2 linked regions of the Drosophila melanogaster genome follow. The protein of the gene in region 1 interacts with the protein of each later gene in a pairwise test. Each region holds a gene or a part of one and is shown on either strand. Other genes may lie near its edges.

Evidence for each region.
Region 2: the proteins of CG13135 (region 1) and TP53INP interact in a two-hybrid assay, tested with the Drosophila melanogaster proteins (one large-scale study listed by BioGRID).

The regions. Positions count from the first base shown.
Region 1 is NT_033779.5:10,120,200-10,127,238, reverse strand, and holds CG13135 (uncharacterized protein), read left to right. Parts: upstream 1-4,467; 5' UTR 4,468-4,499; coding exon 4,500-4,898; 3' UTR 4,899-5,110; downstream 5,111-7,039. Other genes in the region: CG34109 (uncharacterized protein), read right to left, coding at 1,608-2,204, 5,201-5,339, 6,379-6,519; CG44153 (uncharacterized protein), read left to right, coding at 1,009-1,238.
Region 2 is NT_037436.4:4,403,663-4,412,493, forward strand, and holds the start of TP53INP (tumor protein p53 inducible nuclear protein), read left to right. Parts: upstream 1-3,482; 5' UTR 3,483-3,722; intron 3,723-8,831. Other genes in the region: Syx17 (syntaxin 17), read left to right, coding at 165-233, 289-535, 597-1,186; CG15019 (uncharacterized protein), read right to left, coding at 1,699-1,953, 2,123-2,308.

The sequences.
Region 1 (7,039 bases):
TGAAGGGAAAGGCGACGGGCGGTGGCGTTACTCCAACCCCCACTCACTTTTCCCTCCTCGCTCGCTTTTCCACCACCCCCACCCATCTGGAAAATTCTCGCGCCCCATTTAATCGGCAAGTGCGTGGGAAAACAATAAAAATGCATAACAACTGCAATGGAGAGCATTAAAAGGGAACACGGTGGAAAACCTCAGGTTGTCACTGCCCGGGCTCGGTGCCAATTTCCATACGGCTGCCGTTTTCCGCGGTGGAAAACCCAGGACATGAACAACTGCGAACATGTCCCCAGTCAGCGGCAACAATGTTTAAGCTTTAAGTTGTGCAGTTCATTGAATCGCAAAGTGCCTGCAATGGTGCAATGGTAATGAGAAATGGTAGGAGAACAGGTCCTGAATCCTGCAAGAGGATTGCGAGTTGCTCCTTTTCATTTTTTTTTTGCTTCGGTCCTTTGGCATTTCCCAAAAAATGTGGACAAAGCCTTTTACAGTAGAGTGAAATTTTTGGTAAGCATTTAATATTTTATCGGCTGGGTCTTAAATAAATTTTCATGGAATAAACACTTCAAAGAGCTGACGAAAAATGTTAAAGCAACTAGTTTAAAAAAAAAAATGTGCACCGAGAAATGTTCACCAAAAGCGGATGTCTACTGAAAAATTCCAATTGAATCGATTTAGAGACTCCATACCTTTTTTTTTTTGGCTATGACAAAAATGAATAAGAGCAGCTTGATGGGATGGTTAAGAACCGAGAGATTATCCAAACGAATACCTGGCACATGCCTCTCATATTTTTGCTGCATGATGTTATGTCCTTTATTCAGCTCCATGCCCCAAGGAGATTTAAAGGATTCTTCTTGTGGCAATTGCAAGAGCATCTCCATCCACTCACTGGACGGGGCAGGGGTTAATGTTGCCACAGGTGTCGGTCCACATAGGTACACATACACATCCATGTCTTAGCTTCGACCTTTTATGGAAGCAATTACCAAATGTTATCCATCCTTTCAGGCTGCACCAGCAACTCCAGCTCCATCGAATGCCACCAGGCCTGCGACTTTGACAATTTCGGCCGCTCCATCTCACCTCCTGGCCAGAGTTATTCCGCATCCAAAGGCAATCGGAATGCGGCACGCAGTGGAAAAACCCGATACGAGGTAACCATGCGACTGGGCGCCAATCTTACAGGATACTATCGCCATGCCGACCGTGAGCAGTTGTCGGGCGTTATGGAAAGACAGGTGAGCTCAAGATACTCTTAAGAAGACTTTAAAGTGATACGAATAATATAAAAAAAGCACACATATTTGCATACAATATGTTGATATTACTTGTTTACTCAAATGATACTTTTCAGAAAGTACGTGCGTCACTAAATGTTTGAATAGCGTGAAAAAATATGTTGGTAATATTTAAATGAAATATTTGGGCTTTTTACACGCAAAGTATATAATATATAATTCATGGAAATCCAGCATTTTATCCCCAACTTTATCATATAATTTAAAGCACAAATATTTTTATTTATATCAATATCATCTTCAAATAAATATAAAATAATTTTTGGAAACAACACTTTGTAAAATATTTTTTATAATATAAGAGAATGCTCAGTCCACATAGTTTTGCGTCAAATTGAGCTGATCCTCGGCCTCATTTCTGGCTCCACTAGCTGCTCCGTGCAGCACATTTCTCACCGCACCTGGCGTCGCGTCCAAGGATGCATTCCACATGGGCGGATGACCCGCCTGTTGCTGGGCATTGTTCGGAGTTGGACTGCCGGCACTGCTCTCCATGATCGTTGGCATGTTGGGTGGATGCTGGGCGGAAGTCGCCGGCGGATCAACGCGCTCCATCAGCTGGGTGAAGCTACCACCGATGAGATCACTGCTCTCGTGACGCTTGTAGCTGTGGGCAGATCGGGAGAGTGGACGCCAACGGTTCAGCTTCTTGGAGGCCATTCGCTGCAGCGGCGGAGTGCGTGTGCCCGTTTCGGGCTTAAAGGAGGTGGCTCCCTTGGCACCCGAAGTGTGCTGCTCCAGAAGAGTGCTTACCAGCTTGTCCAGCGCCTTCAGATCCACATTCAACTGGGAGTTCGGAATGGAGTTCATTCGACTGCCAGACAGACTGCCCGATCCCGTTTGTCCTGGATCACCATCTGTCTTTAGGCGGTTTAGGCCGGCTATCTTTGCCAGTCGCTCGGTTAGCTGAAAAAATCAAGGAGAATTCATTAAAGTAAAAGGTACCACTTTCTGATTTCAAATGATCTAATATCGCAACACTTTGAAAGAAAAATAGCTGCTTATTTCCGCTCTACCCAATTAGATTGCCATTCTGGCCTTGTTTCCCAACTGCCAACTCTTTCTAATAAATCGCCTGTGAGACTTCAGGACTGATACTTCAGCGGAGCCAATTAAACTTTCCGTTTTCCCATATGCGAAATTACAATTAAGCAATAAAAACTAACGAAATGTGCCCTTAGGCCCTGTGGCAACCGAACAAGTGTTCGCTCTGCAGCGGCTTCCAAGTGCCTCGTTGCAACGAAGGACGAAAGGACGAAGTGTAGGCAAACTGGCAAACTGGCTGACTGGTTGACGGGAGGCAAACAGTTTTGCAGCCTGCCACATTTCGCCTTCGAAGGATTCTCGCTCGGTCGCTCGGTGTGCGACTTTAATTGATGTTTCATTTCCGTTGCAAAGTGCTTCCGTTTTCCTGAGCTCCGCGTCCGCCGTTTGTTTTGTCCAACTGGCGGGGGAATCGACCTGGTAATTGAGTATCAATGCGGTTTTAAGTGAAAAATGCTGCCAACCTTTGGCAACCATCTGAGCCACCCACCCATCCATCCACCCATCCATCCACCCACCCATTCACCCAGCCATCAACCCACCCATTCATCCAACCATCCAACCATCCACCCTATCTCAATGGCCGACCATTTCCGTTTTTAATCTTTTGCCTTGATTTGCTCGCTCTTCGCTTCGTTTTCGTTTTCATTTCATGTTTTCTGTGTTTTTTCAATTGCCTCGTGCTCCATTCAAATGGGGTTAATTGAGTTTTAGTGGCCAGGACTCACTTTAAACTGATTACAAGCTGCCGCCAGAGGGCGTGGTGGTGGTGGTGGTGGTGGTGGCGATGGTTGTAGGCTTTGCAAGTTTGTTTTGCATGCCACTCGGAATATTTGGAGCATGTCAGTTTGCCAGCCACTCGAGTTTCTTGGCCCAAGACCACCCACCATCCACCATCCACCATCCACCACCCACTTTTTTTCGCCGCCTAGAAACGAATTAATGTAGAAGTTGATTTGTGGCAATCGACGCTTGGATGGCTTTTGAATGCTGCTTGCCAGCGAGTTTTAATTGAGGCGCTCGTCTGCCTCTTAAACAGGAAATTAAGAAAGTTTCTCCTACCCAAGTTCCATGATTATGGATCCGGGCGAGTGAAAGTCAGATAAAATGTCATTAGCGAATACATCAAGGTGATGGGATATGCAGATCTTCGTTAAGCATGATTTTCGTGCTGAAAAAAGCACCACACTGAACCAAAACCCAATGACAAGGTCTTAAGCGCTGAGCTGCATGCACCAAGCTTCGGTTTTTATGCTACAATATGACAGATTTTGTCCAGTGGATCTAGTTTCATCTAGTGCATGAAAACCGTAAGGAGTTTATTTTCGTCTTGCAACAGGTTCATCTGGCTTAACCATAAATCTTACATGATTTTCAACTACTCAGTTGTTGCTCTGCTGCTCCGTTTTTTTTTTTTTTTTTTTGTTGCAACTGCCCCAAGTGACCCCTTCTTTTGCTTTCCCATTCTGGGCTCCCATGATTTATGATCTTCCCAACTTGGTTTATTGTCGCATCGTTTGGCCGGCACTTTTTCTCCCGGTCACCGTGCATTTTCTTGTCCGCCTCGCAGGGCTTATCAACTAATGATTGAGGTCAGTTGGCCAACGTCTGCTCTCTGCCCATCCGCCAAATAATTGCCGGCAATTAAGCTTAAATGCTGGTTGGCCTTCCGTTCCTTGGGGCAATGAGAAATGCAATTTGAAGAGATATTCCTGTCGCCCGAAACTTGGCCAAACTTGAATCGATTCAAAACTAGTTTATTTAAATAAGTTCTTTAAGGGGGTGACCCATTGTTTTGGCAGCAGATAAACACACAGATAAACAGATGTGCTTGACATTTTATTTCAAAAATCGATGGATGACTGGCAAACAGAGTGTTGTAGCAACTGTGTAAATATTATAACACAACGGCATATGCCCATCCACCCATTGATGAATAAAAACTTGTCAAATATTTTGATTGAACCGAATGTTAGGCCCAATCTTAGGCACAATGACTAATCAAACACTGATAGAGTGCGAAAACTGGCTGAAAGCCGAAAGCACACCTGTGCACACTTGTGCGAATTGAAATCAATCGGTGGTGTAGTTGCTATAAAAGCATTGGATTTCATAGGGAAAGATTATCATTCGCCATCTGCCGCAAGCATCAGCAACATGAGGAAATCACTACTGATCGTTGGCTCCCTCCTGGTGACCATCTTTCTGGCCCATCTGCCAGTTGGTCTAGCCGTCTCGTGTGCCGATGATCCCACCGATACGGCTTGCATCGATTGCACAGATACCGCGAATGCAGCTGAAGCCGATTGTACCACAACCACGGCTGCTCCGGAGGTAACCACAGCTGCCGCAGAGGTAACCACAGCGGCCAGTGCCGATGGAGAAACCACCACCGCAGCCGCTTCGGCCACCGACACGACCACCGCCTCATCCGGAGGCAGTGGCAAGAAGCGCGTGAGGAGGACCTTCAGGCGTAAGGTGAGCCGCCCCAGGAAGATCAAGAAGAGGAGGAGCAACCGAGGCAGGAACAATAGGAGGAGCCAAAACTCGGGCTAAGCACTGGACGCTCAATCGCTCAAGAATGATAACAACAATGACAAGGCAATGCTACCCTGTACTCCTAAACAGCTTTAGTTTTAAGTAAACAAATCAATTTTAAACTGGGCCCACAAATAATAAATTATTTTTTTAAAGAAAGTTTAAATTCAAATGTTTTTGATAAATAAATAATATGTTAACTGATAAGGGATATGTATAAAGTAACTATGAAAAAGGGTATTTATGAAGTACTTATAGACTAGCTCCAACCTAATTTGGTAATCAGCGAAGTACTGACACCTGTGCAGAATATTCCTCACCTCGCCAGCCGCATTGCTGGAGTAGCTCATCCGCTTGACCTTCCTGAATGTGGCATCGTTCTCCGCCTGGGCCAGAGCCCTTTCCAGCGCATTGTCCATCTGGGCATCACGCTCGTCCAGGCCGTGATAGAGGGCGCCACTGTGGGGGAGGGCAAAATAGAAAATGGGCGTGGCGTGGCAAACAAGTGTTAATTTTTGTGCAACAATGCCACGAACTTTGAATGACGCGTCGGAGCGGAAAAATGGATACGCCCGGCGTGCAGGAAAACATTTATGGCTTTTTGTTAGTTTCGTGTAAACAAATGGTGCTGGCCCTTTTTGTGCTAAATTAAAAAGCTTACAGCCGTGTGTTAATTTGTTGCATGCATTTGCATTGTTATAATGTCCAACAGAATGTGCAACATTCTCGCATTGCATTTTCAGGCATTAACTTGTTTATTTTAGAGTCATTTACAGAGAATGCGCGTTTTCAATCCGCCCTAAGGTCAATCCAAATTAGAGCTGCCTGTGTATATATATATATATATACATATCGATTCGGTTGCTTTTAATTAATTCAGTAGTATACGTTGCATTTAAAAGTTGAAAAAGCATACAAATTGTGTTGGGCATTTGAAGCAGATTTTTGCAAAATATTCAGCCACTTGGATGGCTTCCAACTTTCAGTTGCATTTTTTCTTCCATATTTTATAGCCATTTTTTTCTTTATTTTTTTTTTATATTTTTTTGTTTGCATTTGCGTTTGCCTAAGACCGCCATAAATACTCGGCAATGATTTCAATTATGCGATAAATATTTCACAGAATGTGTTGCACTTATATTTATTTATGGACTCTAGGCGGCGTGGGCGCAACATTCGCACTCTGACGACATAAATACCTTCATTATTTACCTTTTGAGAAAATGCGTTCAAGCATTTGGCGCAGACAAATGTTGGGAGTAAATTGACTTGCCCCCAGGAGAATGAGTATGAGTCTGGGAATGAGTATGGGTATGAGTATGAGTATGAGTCTGGGAATGAGTATGATTTTGCACACACGGCCGGGCTCAATTATTCAACAAAAACGGAATTGTAAAGGATATGCGAAATATGAGAATTGTTTCAGGGTCGGCGGGTCCCCAAAGAGTTCTTTTCTCCCCATCTTCATGGAAAGTGAATGTGTGCCCCGCGAACTCACCCGCTGAACTTGTCCATGCCCCTGACGGTACCCATCCCTCCATGTCCTCCAGGACCTCCGGCCATCGAGCTGCGGCTGCGAGGATGCCGCATTGTTGAGCGATTCGTTTTGCGTACGGTGCGAAGATCTGTTTCCCAAAATCTGTGAGAAAAGGGGGGAAATTTATTGTAAAAGCAATGTATTTTTCGTTGTATGCATAGAAGAAGAGTTGAGTGACAAACGATTCAACAGCTATTAGGTATGAATGTTTAAACTTTTTGTTAAAATAATTATATATCTTCTAATGATTAGTTCAAACAATTCTAGAAATTCTACAAATTCTTAGAAGCCTTTCAATATGGGTTTTTAATACTACTATGATATGGATCCTACGTTTCTGTTTTTCATATTAAGCTGCCTGTAAAATATGACTCATTTAATTAAGTATAGTAATTTCCCACTTTCGCCACTAAGACTGCACTGTAAAAGAGCTGTAAAATTATATTTCGAATGATTGGCAATGCACGACTCTTTTTTTTTTGGAAAACTTTTAGTTCAATTTTACTCGGTGCCCGTCGGAAAACTTTTTCTATTATAGGAAATAACCTTCGGGCTCCCGGCAGAAGCTGTCCCCATTTATGTTGGCATAGGAGTTGCTCTCTCGTCGGACAGAAAACCCCTA
Region 2 (8,831 bases), on another chromosome or scaffold:
AAAGCAAAAACTGCGCAGAAAAACCAGGGAAATCTGTTAAGCAAGGTCCATCGTTAAAAAGGGGCGGGGGGTGTTACAGAAACTGATCCCCCAGATTTCACTTTTACCACAATTAAAACTGATTAAAAATCAAAGCGCTGCGAGTTCAAAGTATTCAGTTCACGATGACGCGCGATGAGAAACTGCCACTTAAACAGGCGGAGGTCTCCATCCAAAGGTTTCAGGATGTGGCGGTAGGTTATTTACTATATCTTCTGAAGAGCGGAACTAATTCCTTAACACTCATAGGTGCCCCACCATCTGAGCCTACTGAAAAACCATCGCAGCAATATAGAAAAAAGCCTGGCGCTCGGCGACTGGCAAAAAATCAAAAAGGAGGAACTCAATGCTATGAGGGTCATTAAGCAGATCAAGAATCTACTTCTGGAAATGGATGCACTGCGAGAAAAAGTACGGGAGGAGGATCTGGAACGTTTCGACGACCTAATGAAACCTGGCAGGGATACTGCCTTCGCTGGCATGAAGGAATTTGCGGGTAAGTTTGAAATGCCATCTAAATTCTTTCGGCTTTACCAACACACCTACTGTATTTTTAGAGCTCCAACTCAAATCACCCACCTCCACTTTGAGTTCTCAGTACGACGACGATCTGGACAATCAGCCACAGGAGGTGGATATGAACAGTCTACCCGCACACCGCCACATGCCCCAGCTGCAACTCAATTTCCAGCTGGAGGAACACCAATTGGCGCAGAGGCAAGCCTGCCTGGATCAGATGGAGAACCTGCAACAGGAGATCTACGATCTGCACGGGATGTTCCAGGGAATGCGTCAACTGACTGCAGAGCAATCAGTGGCGGTGGAAAAGATAGCAGACAATGCGGAGGAAGCTCTGGAGAATGTCCAGCAGGGCGAATTGAATCTGCGCCGGGCGCTCACCTACAAGAAGGCCATGTACCCCGTAGTCGGAGCTCTTCTGGGCACCTGTGTGGGAGGACCCATTGGTCTGGTGGCGGGCATGAAAGCTGGAGGATTGGCGGCAGTAGGATGTGGCATCCTCGGCTTCACCGGTGGCTCTGTGCTAAAGGCCAATCCCAATGTAATGCATGGCAACATCGAGGAGGAGCAGGTGGAACCGGATAGCGAGTCAACTGAGAGACTGGAGCTAAAAGAGAAGCCAGAATGACCCGCAGGAGGAAGTGCCCGATCCGCATCCACGGCTCTGGCCACCACGCACATATGGTCGGCGAACACACGACGTTTGGAGGCAGCCACCAACGGAGTGATTTGCAGCGTGCGCAGCTATTGTTCCGTTCAGTAGAAATTTGACCACGATTTTAGTTCAATATCCCCATTTTGTGATTTTCCACGTGCAATAGAGCTAATGAGCATAATGTAACTGCACTTTAGTTTAAGCGTTGGATACTTGTTGTTCACATGACACCGCAAATGTGTGTAGATTTTAAGGCTTTAATATGCAATAATAACTCGTAGCTTTAAAAAAGTAATGATACTATTTGATTGCCATGTTGAGAAGTTCAGACTATATCTGGGTTTTTCAGAACTTGTTTGGGCTTTAATATGCAATATATACTCTTAGCTATAACATCTTTGTAGAAAAAGCCTACAAAATCTCCTAAACTAAGCGAGGACTTATAAACTACGATAAGATACCAGATGGGTAACCCAGCCCCGGATTTATAGGGGAACATTAACCGTGGTCCAGGCCTGTTTGAAGTTCTTCTTCTGCGAGTGCTGCTTCTTTCTTAGACGCTTGGCGGTCTTCTTCTTCTTGAACCACGCAGGATAATTGCCGTACTGATCTTTGAGGGTCTTGCTGTTGAAAATGTGCTCCACGCCCGTGTTCTCGTTGGTCACCTTGACTTTCTCGCCCTTCTCCAGACTCTCCTGGTGCTCGTAGATCAATTCCTGCTCCTCCTTGGATTTGGCCTCCTGTTTTAGGAATACAATTTCTTCTTTAATAAGGATATAAAATACGTAACAAGAATGAAGGTAGTATCGCGATAAACTAAGCCGGTTTTTCGCATATTACATGCATACAATACATATAATACATTAGGTAAATTGGTATATTTGTAGGTGGGTATATCACATAACTAACCCTTTTGAGCTCCTTGGCGGTCTTAATTTCGACCACATCGCTTATATCCTTCATGATCTCATTTCCATCGGCATCTAGGAGTCCCAGAGTTTTCTTCAGTCGAATTAACTCCTTGGCTTCGTACCGCGCCTTCTTTATCTTATTCATTTCATCACGACGCTTTCTCGAGCGATTGTTTCTGCCCATTTCGGTAGTCGGATATTAAGTAATACCAGAAAAAGTCAAAGAAGTAAAGAAATTGCGTTCAATTTGCTAAAAACGTAAACACGTGTGTTTTTGCTAGAGCTGGAAAACTGCCCGATTTTTCTTCGATTTTTTTCAGCGGGCTCTTATCGATAGCGCAAATAAATTAATCGACCAGGGCTTATTTTTAGTTATTTAGCCGCCAAGATTAAAAATTGTTTTTTTTTTACTCTCGTTTTTTAAATAGTTTTATATACTTTCTATGTAAAAGACACTTATCTGTATAGAAATATGTGTCATATTATTTAATTACACCTTATGTCCTTATTTTCCCTAATATGCTGTAGCGCTGTTGTATCAATTATCAGGTACATAAATTTTTAAAAACCACAAAATATATTAAAACATATTAAATTCTAGTTTTTATGACTTTGCCTTTAATGCATATAAGTTATAACTTTTTTAAAAACCACAAATTAAGCTTTTGTGGCTTTTTTCCACTTCCATTTTCGTTTCCATTCATCTCTTTCTTCCCCTTTTCCACTCTGTATTTATTTACCTTTTGTTCTCTCTCCTTTTCAGTATATATATATTGCAATATGATTTTTGTATACAAACAAAATCAGCTGCTGAAGAGAAAATGAGAGGCTTGCCAAATACGAAAAGTAACTAAAATAGGAAATATAGTCGTTGTGAAATGCTCTACACCGACTAGATTTTTAATACACTAAATAGAATTTTATAAAAAATATATGATTGTACAAAATGCAATAGTTTTCTCTAATAGCTAAGACAATGCATATAATAGTTTGTTTAACAGTTTAAAAGAATTCGGCTTAAATGCACTTACTTTTTAAAGACCTTGATAAAAAGGTTTTCACAAAGAGATAGACTGTAAAAATGTCCTAGCTATTTAGCCAAAGTATAAGGTATTGTTAATGTACAATACAATGTGTTTACTTCAGTGACATAGCTGAGTTACTTTCGATTTGGATAGAGCATCCGAAGAGCCTCTCTTGCACATGCGCAGCAGCAGAAAGAGGCAGAAACAGGGTAAGTGTGTCGGGCTCAGCTGTAGAGCCACCAATACATGGGTAGCGCACCAACACCAGCGAACAGCAGAGGCACACAGATAGGGGGGCAACCAGCTTGGTTGGCCAGTTTGTAGACCTTCTGCCATCATTCGCTCGTCAGTCGTTGTTGCTAGCATACGTCACGGAGTTCCTGTAGCGCTGCTCTTCTCCGCACTCTCACCCCCGTCAGTTAAGCAAAAACGGAAGTAATCAGCACAAAAAACAATAAGCACGCCAATTAAAAAACATTTCGAAAACTGTGTAAAAAGCCTTGCTGGTGCAAATTATTGCAGAGAATACGGGTAGATTCCGACACCGATCGATCAATAAACTCCGCGCAGCAAGTAAGTGCAGTTTTAACCCCCCCAAAGAAAAAAAGCAGAAAAATACTGAAGCGGAAGTCCTTCTCCAAGGAAAGGACATTACACTCACACACGCACCAACACATGCTCAGATATGTTTCTCAAAAGTTCTGCTGCAAGCCGATTTACATGTACACACATCCCAAAGTGCAGCCCAGCGATACATACGAAAAAGCAGGAAAAAATTCTGATTGCACCTTCGCATCCAAAGAGTTCACACTTTTGCGGCTGTGTGAGTTTTCCTTGGCTTTCGGCCAGGCCAACAGTTTTCCATCTCCACATGCACTTACACACACACAAACACCGATTTTCCCCCAAATTGTATTTGGCTGCAAATCGGCCGAGTTTCTTGTTAAGGGGATTTCCATTCTGGGCATCTAATAGCCATAAATTTGACTTGCATCACGTTTTCAGCATTTTTAGCGATCGTTATCAGATCCGTGCCACATCTCAGATCTCTGGCATTTCCCAGCTGAGTGCACTGCTAAAAATTTGCCTAAAACCATCTAATGTAGAGCTTATTGGAATAATGAGTGTATAGAATTAAATGCTAACATAAAGCGTTCAGAATTTCTCATACTCTTTTTAGAAAAATTTCTCTCTGTGTTCAGACTTACATATTAGCTGCTGCACTTTGCCCCACGATCGAGTTATATATTTTTTTTTGTGCAATCATTGTGTGTTCATGGAGTGTCAACTGGTGATGGCAAGTGCAATGAATGTTTCGCTGATTAACATCTTAATTAGCCTTGCAATTATTTCCTCAACTATAATATTATGGCCAAAAAAAATCTCCTGGATGCCTGCCAACATTTGCTCAGATGTTGAGATCCGAGAGGCAAACGAAAATAGGGAGCATTTCGAGGAGAAACCTTGCCGCTCCACAGCCACAAAAGCAGGCCCAAAAACCCAAGTGAATCATGCGCCAAATGTGCAGAACAGGTCTTGCAGTTGCCATTGTCCATTGTCCATTTTTCGAGCTGAAGAGCTAAAAAAAAAACCTCTAAAGAACGGAAGGTGCTGGATCGAAACGGAGGGGTGGGGAGTAGGGGTCCAAAAACGAATGGGAAGAACCGTCGCGGATGATAAATCAAGTCTGGCCAGTTGTTTGTCTGTGGCAATGAAAGAAAAATTGAAAAACAAAAGCCACAGACAACAACATAAACAGCGAACAGCTGATGATGCTGCAGCAACGCGAACTCAGCCAAATGTGTATCTGGCAGATAAAGTCAGTTGGCTGCCCCGCTTCGATCGTGGCCAACAAATCTGGTCGCCTTAATTGGCCAAAAGGGTAACCGTAGTCACAGAAAGTCCAACCGATGCACAGGGAGAAAATGTGTTAGATAACAGAAGTATTTGAGTTCTATAATTCATAAGTCGATCATTTGTTTTTTTGAAAGTTATTCATTTTAAGTAAACCATACTTAGCTACTTAGCGACCCAATTCGGTGATTATTTATTTATCTGCAGCAGTGTCAATTCCTCTGAGCACTGAACTGAGTAGGGAATGAAGGCAATTAGGTTATCGTTAGACGGCATTATCTGGTTTAATTAGAGCATAGATACTGACGTGGCAATTTTGGACAGTCCCAGGGGTATCCGCAACTCAGCCCATCGGGTGCAGATCCAAAAACCAACTAACAGGTAGCAGGGGAAGGCAACTGGCTGGTGGCTAATCCCAAAATGGGATGGGACTGCCCTCCCCGCAGAGCCGATAATGCCCGACTATAATTAGAAATTTAGTCAGCCGACTTGCCGTACCTGTACTTAGGCATGTGCATCCGAAAGATATCCAAACAAAAGGCCAAATAACCAACACTTGATGTTCTTGTCTCGGTTTTGGGTTACTGTTTTTCGGGTTCCTCGCAGGTCCTGATTTATGGCCATGAAGAAAGTGAAACTGCTGTAGGTGCGGGCAAAACCAGTTTACTCAGGACACAAACAAAAAAAAACCGATGCGAAACAAAGACACAGAGTCAAGTTCAAGTTGTTTAGTATTTTCGAGTTATGTAAGTTTTTTTTCTCCCCCCTGACTCTTTTGACTGCGCATCTAAATGTCAAAAATTATGTCATAATTCTTGAAAATAAACGCAGCTGCATGTGGGTACTGTAGGGTAGAAGATTCGGGGTGGTAAACGGGGTGGTTCCAGGTGGTAGGCCCAGTAACACTGCACACTGCGCAGTTTCACCCAAATCCCTTCCCCGTTTTCCACTTTGGGGTTGCTGACGTGTTCATTTTCCACTGGCGCTGATTTGCAGCTATGGGCCTTTCATCGATTTGCAGCTAAACCGCTTCCAAAGGGAGGTAAGCATGTGGTGCGGACCCTACACCCAACAACTAGGAGGCACCCTGTGCAAGCCCAAAAATAGCAAAGGTGACCCCCAAAACGGCTGCGGAACGGGAGGCTGCAAAAAAGTTTCTCTGGGCCTACATTTTCCCAAATGCGGAAGTCGTTACTTTGTATATACATATATATTTAGGATGGTGGGTATTCCCTCTATATATATATATATACCAGAGAGAGAGAACCAAAACATTCAATGGGTCCCATCGTGAAGGTTGCTAGGTAATCGTCATCGGGGAAAATGCCCTCCGACTGCGCAGGTCAAACAAATTTGTTTGTAAACAAAATAGGACTGAGAGCAAAGAGAGAGAGAGAGAGAACTAGGGAAAAGTCCTGCAGTGAATGTAGGGGAAAAGCCAGTAACCGTACCAGTTACAGTAACAAACTGCGGTGGGAAAACTATTTCAAGCCCAGTGGGTGGTGTCTGCAAGGGGCGGGGGGCGGTCGATTTATATTTGCCCATAAATCTGCCTTTTAATTGGCGTCGTTCAAACACAACTGTGGCAATTTGAGTGCTATATTTACGCCTGACGCTATGGAAATGGCGTTAAAAATTCATTTGATTATGAAGGAAAGGAAACTGTCAAAGGGCAGGAAATAAGGTCACCAATCTGCATAAAGTTTCTTTAAAAAGAGATCGTACTTGGCAAGCGGAAAAATACTAATTAGAAAGATGTTTGAAAGTATGCTACAATATATTTTCAGCATCAAAGTAGTTCGCATTGATTTTTGCTGCAAACTTTTACGCACTCATATAAATGATTTTGTAACCACTAGAGATATTTTTCTAAACCGTTTTATAAATACAATTTGCATAACAAATTTATGCCCGTGTAGCACTTTATTTTTATAATTGCGCACGTGCTAGACTGCGACTTTAAGCCATACTATACTTACAGTAATCATATTGACTAGACTCATTTCCGAGTCACCAGTTGAGCGCCTGATGTAATCCGCCAATATTGATTGACTTGCGGAATATTAGATTGATTGATTGTTTAGTGAATATATATATATTCGGTGGTCAGAAACGGCGCTGACCCAGAATTCCAAATACGACAGCTGGACCTGCGGACTGCTATTGATAAACAAAGTGATAAAAAATATGCGCCGTGTCCAGTGGATTTGCCTAAGAAGAGTCGCACGGAATGCGCACAGCTGCGTCTCACGTACTAATTGAAATTACGCGTTATAAAACATCCAATTATATATATATATATATATATATATATATATGTATATATGCACAAATATAATAAAAAGCTCAACTAAATGCCATTAATATGTACAGCCAAAGTGCAGCGAGGTGCGCGAACTTGAAATTATATATGTGCGGGCACAGAACCTGCAATCCCACATTTATCATCGATCGTTTGATAAGCTCCGCCACACAACGAACCTTGATTCATTGGTACAGTGGAGCCTCGCAGCTGACTCTCTTTCTAAATGTGTGTGTTGGTGTCGCTGTGACATCAAAGTATCGTTTGCGTCATTTATTGAGCAGCTTAACTGGGCTTTGTAGATATTACTGAAATGAACTTATTATTTGGCTTGATAATAAAGAAGTAGGCTCAGTTTTTTACAAAATAGACCAAACAAATTGTAACATTTTGATATAGTATACAAGTATCATGGTATCATAAAAATATCTAATTCCACCGCATATGGTATCCATTACAGTGCATCGTAAAATTCCACTCAGTGCAGCTGAAAAATGCATTCACATGCATGTCAGCTAGCTGATCGTCTCCATTTCCATATTCACAAATGTTTGTCCATCCAAATGAAAACATAAAGCGAATGAAAAGTTGCCTCACTTGATGTCGCATTTAGCTTCTGTCGATGCGTTGGCGTTCGTCATTTGACTGCGTAGTATTTGCAAGTTGTGCTCCATGGAGGGGATCTTATGGAAAAGGGGGGTTACTTGGATTGGAGTTTGTGCGCAATAACCCAGAAAGAAGCGCTCGGAACAGTTGAGTTCACTTGGGCTGGGCCATGGTTCACTTCACTGCCTTTGATGCTGGCCGCTTTGCCAGTTTGCTGGCTGTTTACATGTTGTAATCATTTTGGGACACAAGATGTGGCAGCCACATAGCTGGCATAAACATTACCCGATTAGATAGAGCACCATTTCTATCTGAACTTTGTTTATTTGAATTTAAAGTGCTGCCGCGCGCATGTAGTTTTTTATTTGGTTTTCTATTTCTTTGGCGTCCACCCGATGACGCCAATATTGTTTACCTCCACGCAGAAGTGGGGGACTTTTGTTTTCTTTACCATGTTTTTTATACTATTTTTTTTTTTTCGAGCATAAACCAAACGCGTGCAGACTAAGATTAATTATAAAAACTTTGGGTTGGCCAATGGCATGGAATGGGGAGAGAGATCACAAGACTTTGTGCGGGTATGCTGGCCATAAACACACATAAATTTCGTCTATGTATATATACGACTATATATATATAGCTGGCTATATCCGGCGATCTTTTTTGCTGCTCTTAAGCACCTGTGTCGTCGCTCTGCTACATTTGTAGTTGCAGTTCTCCCTGTGCGAAAGCTACACTTTGTCGCCGTCAGCTGTTGCATGATAGAATATCTAAAAATATATAGAAAGCCACAACAAAATGCTGCTCTAATGGCTAAACAACCTTGAACCTGGCCGAGAGGTTGTGCTTTTGTCAGAAATATGTATCAGTACATGCACTTGTGTGTTATGGCCCATTATCTAAAACGAAACAAAATTATT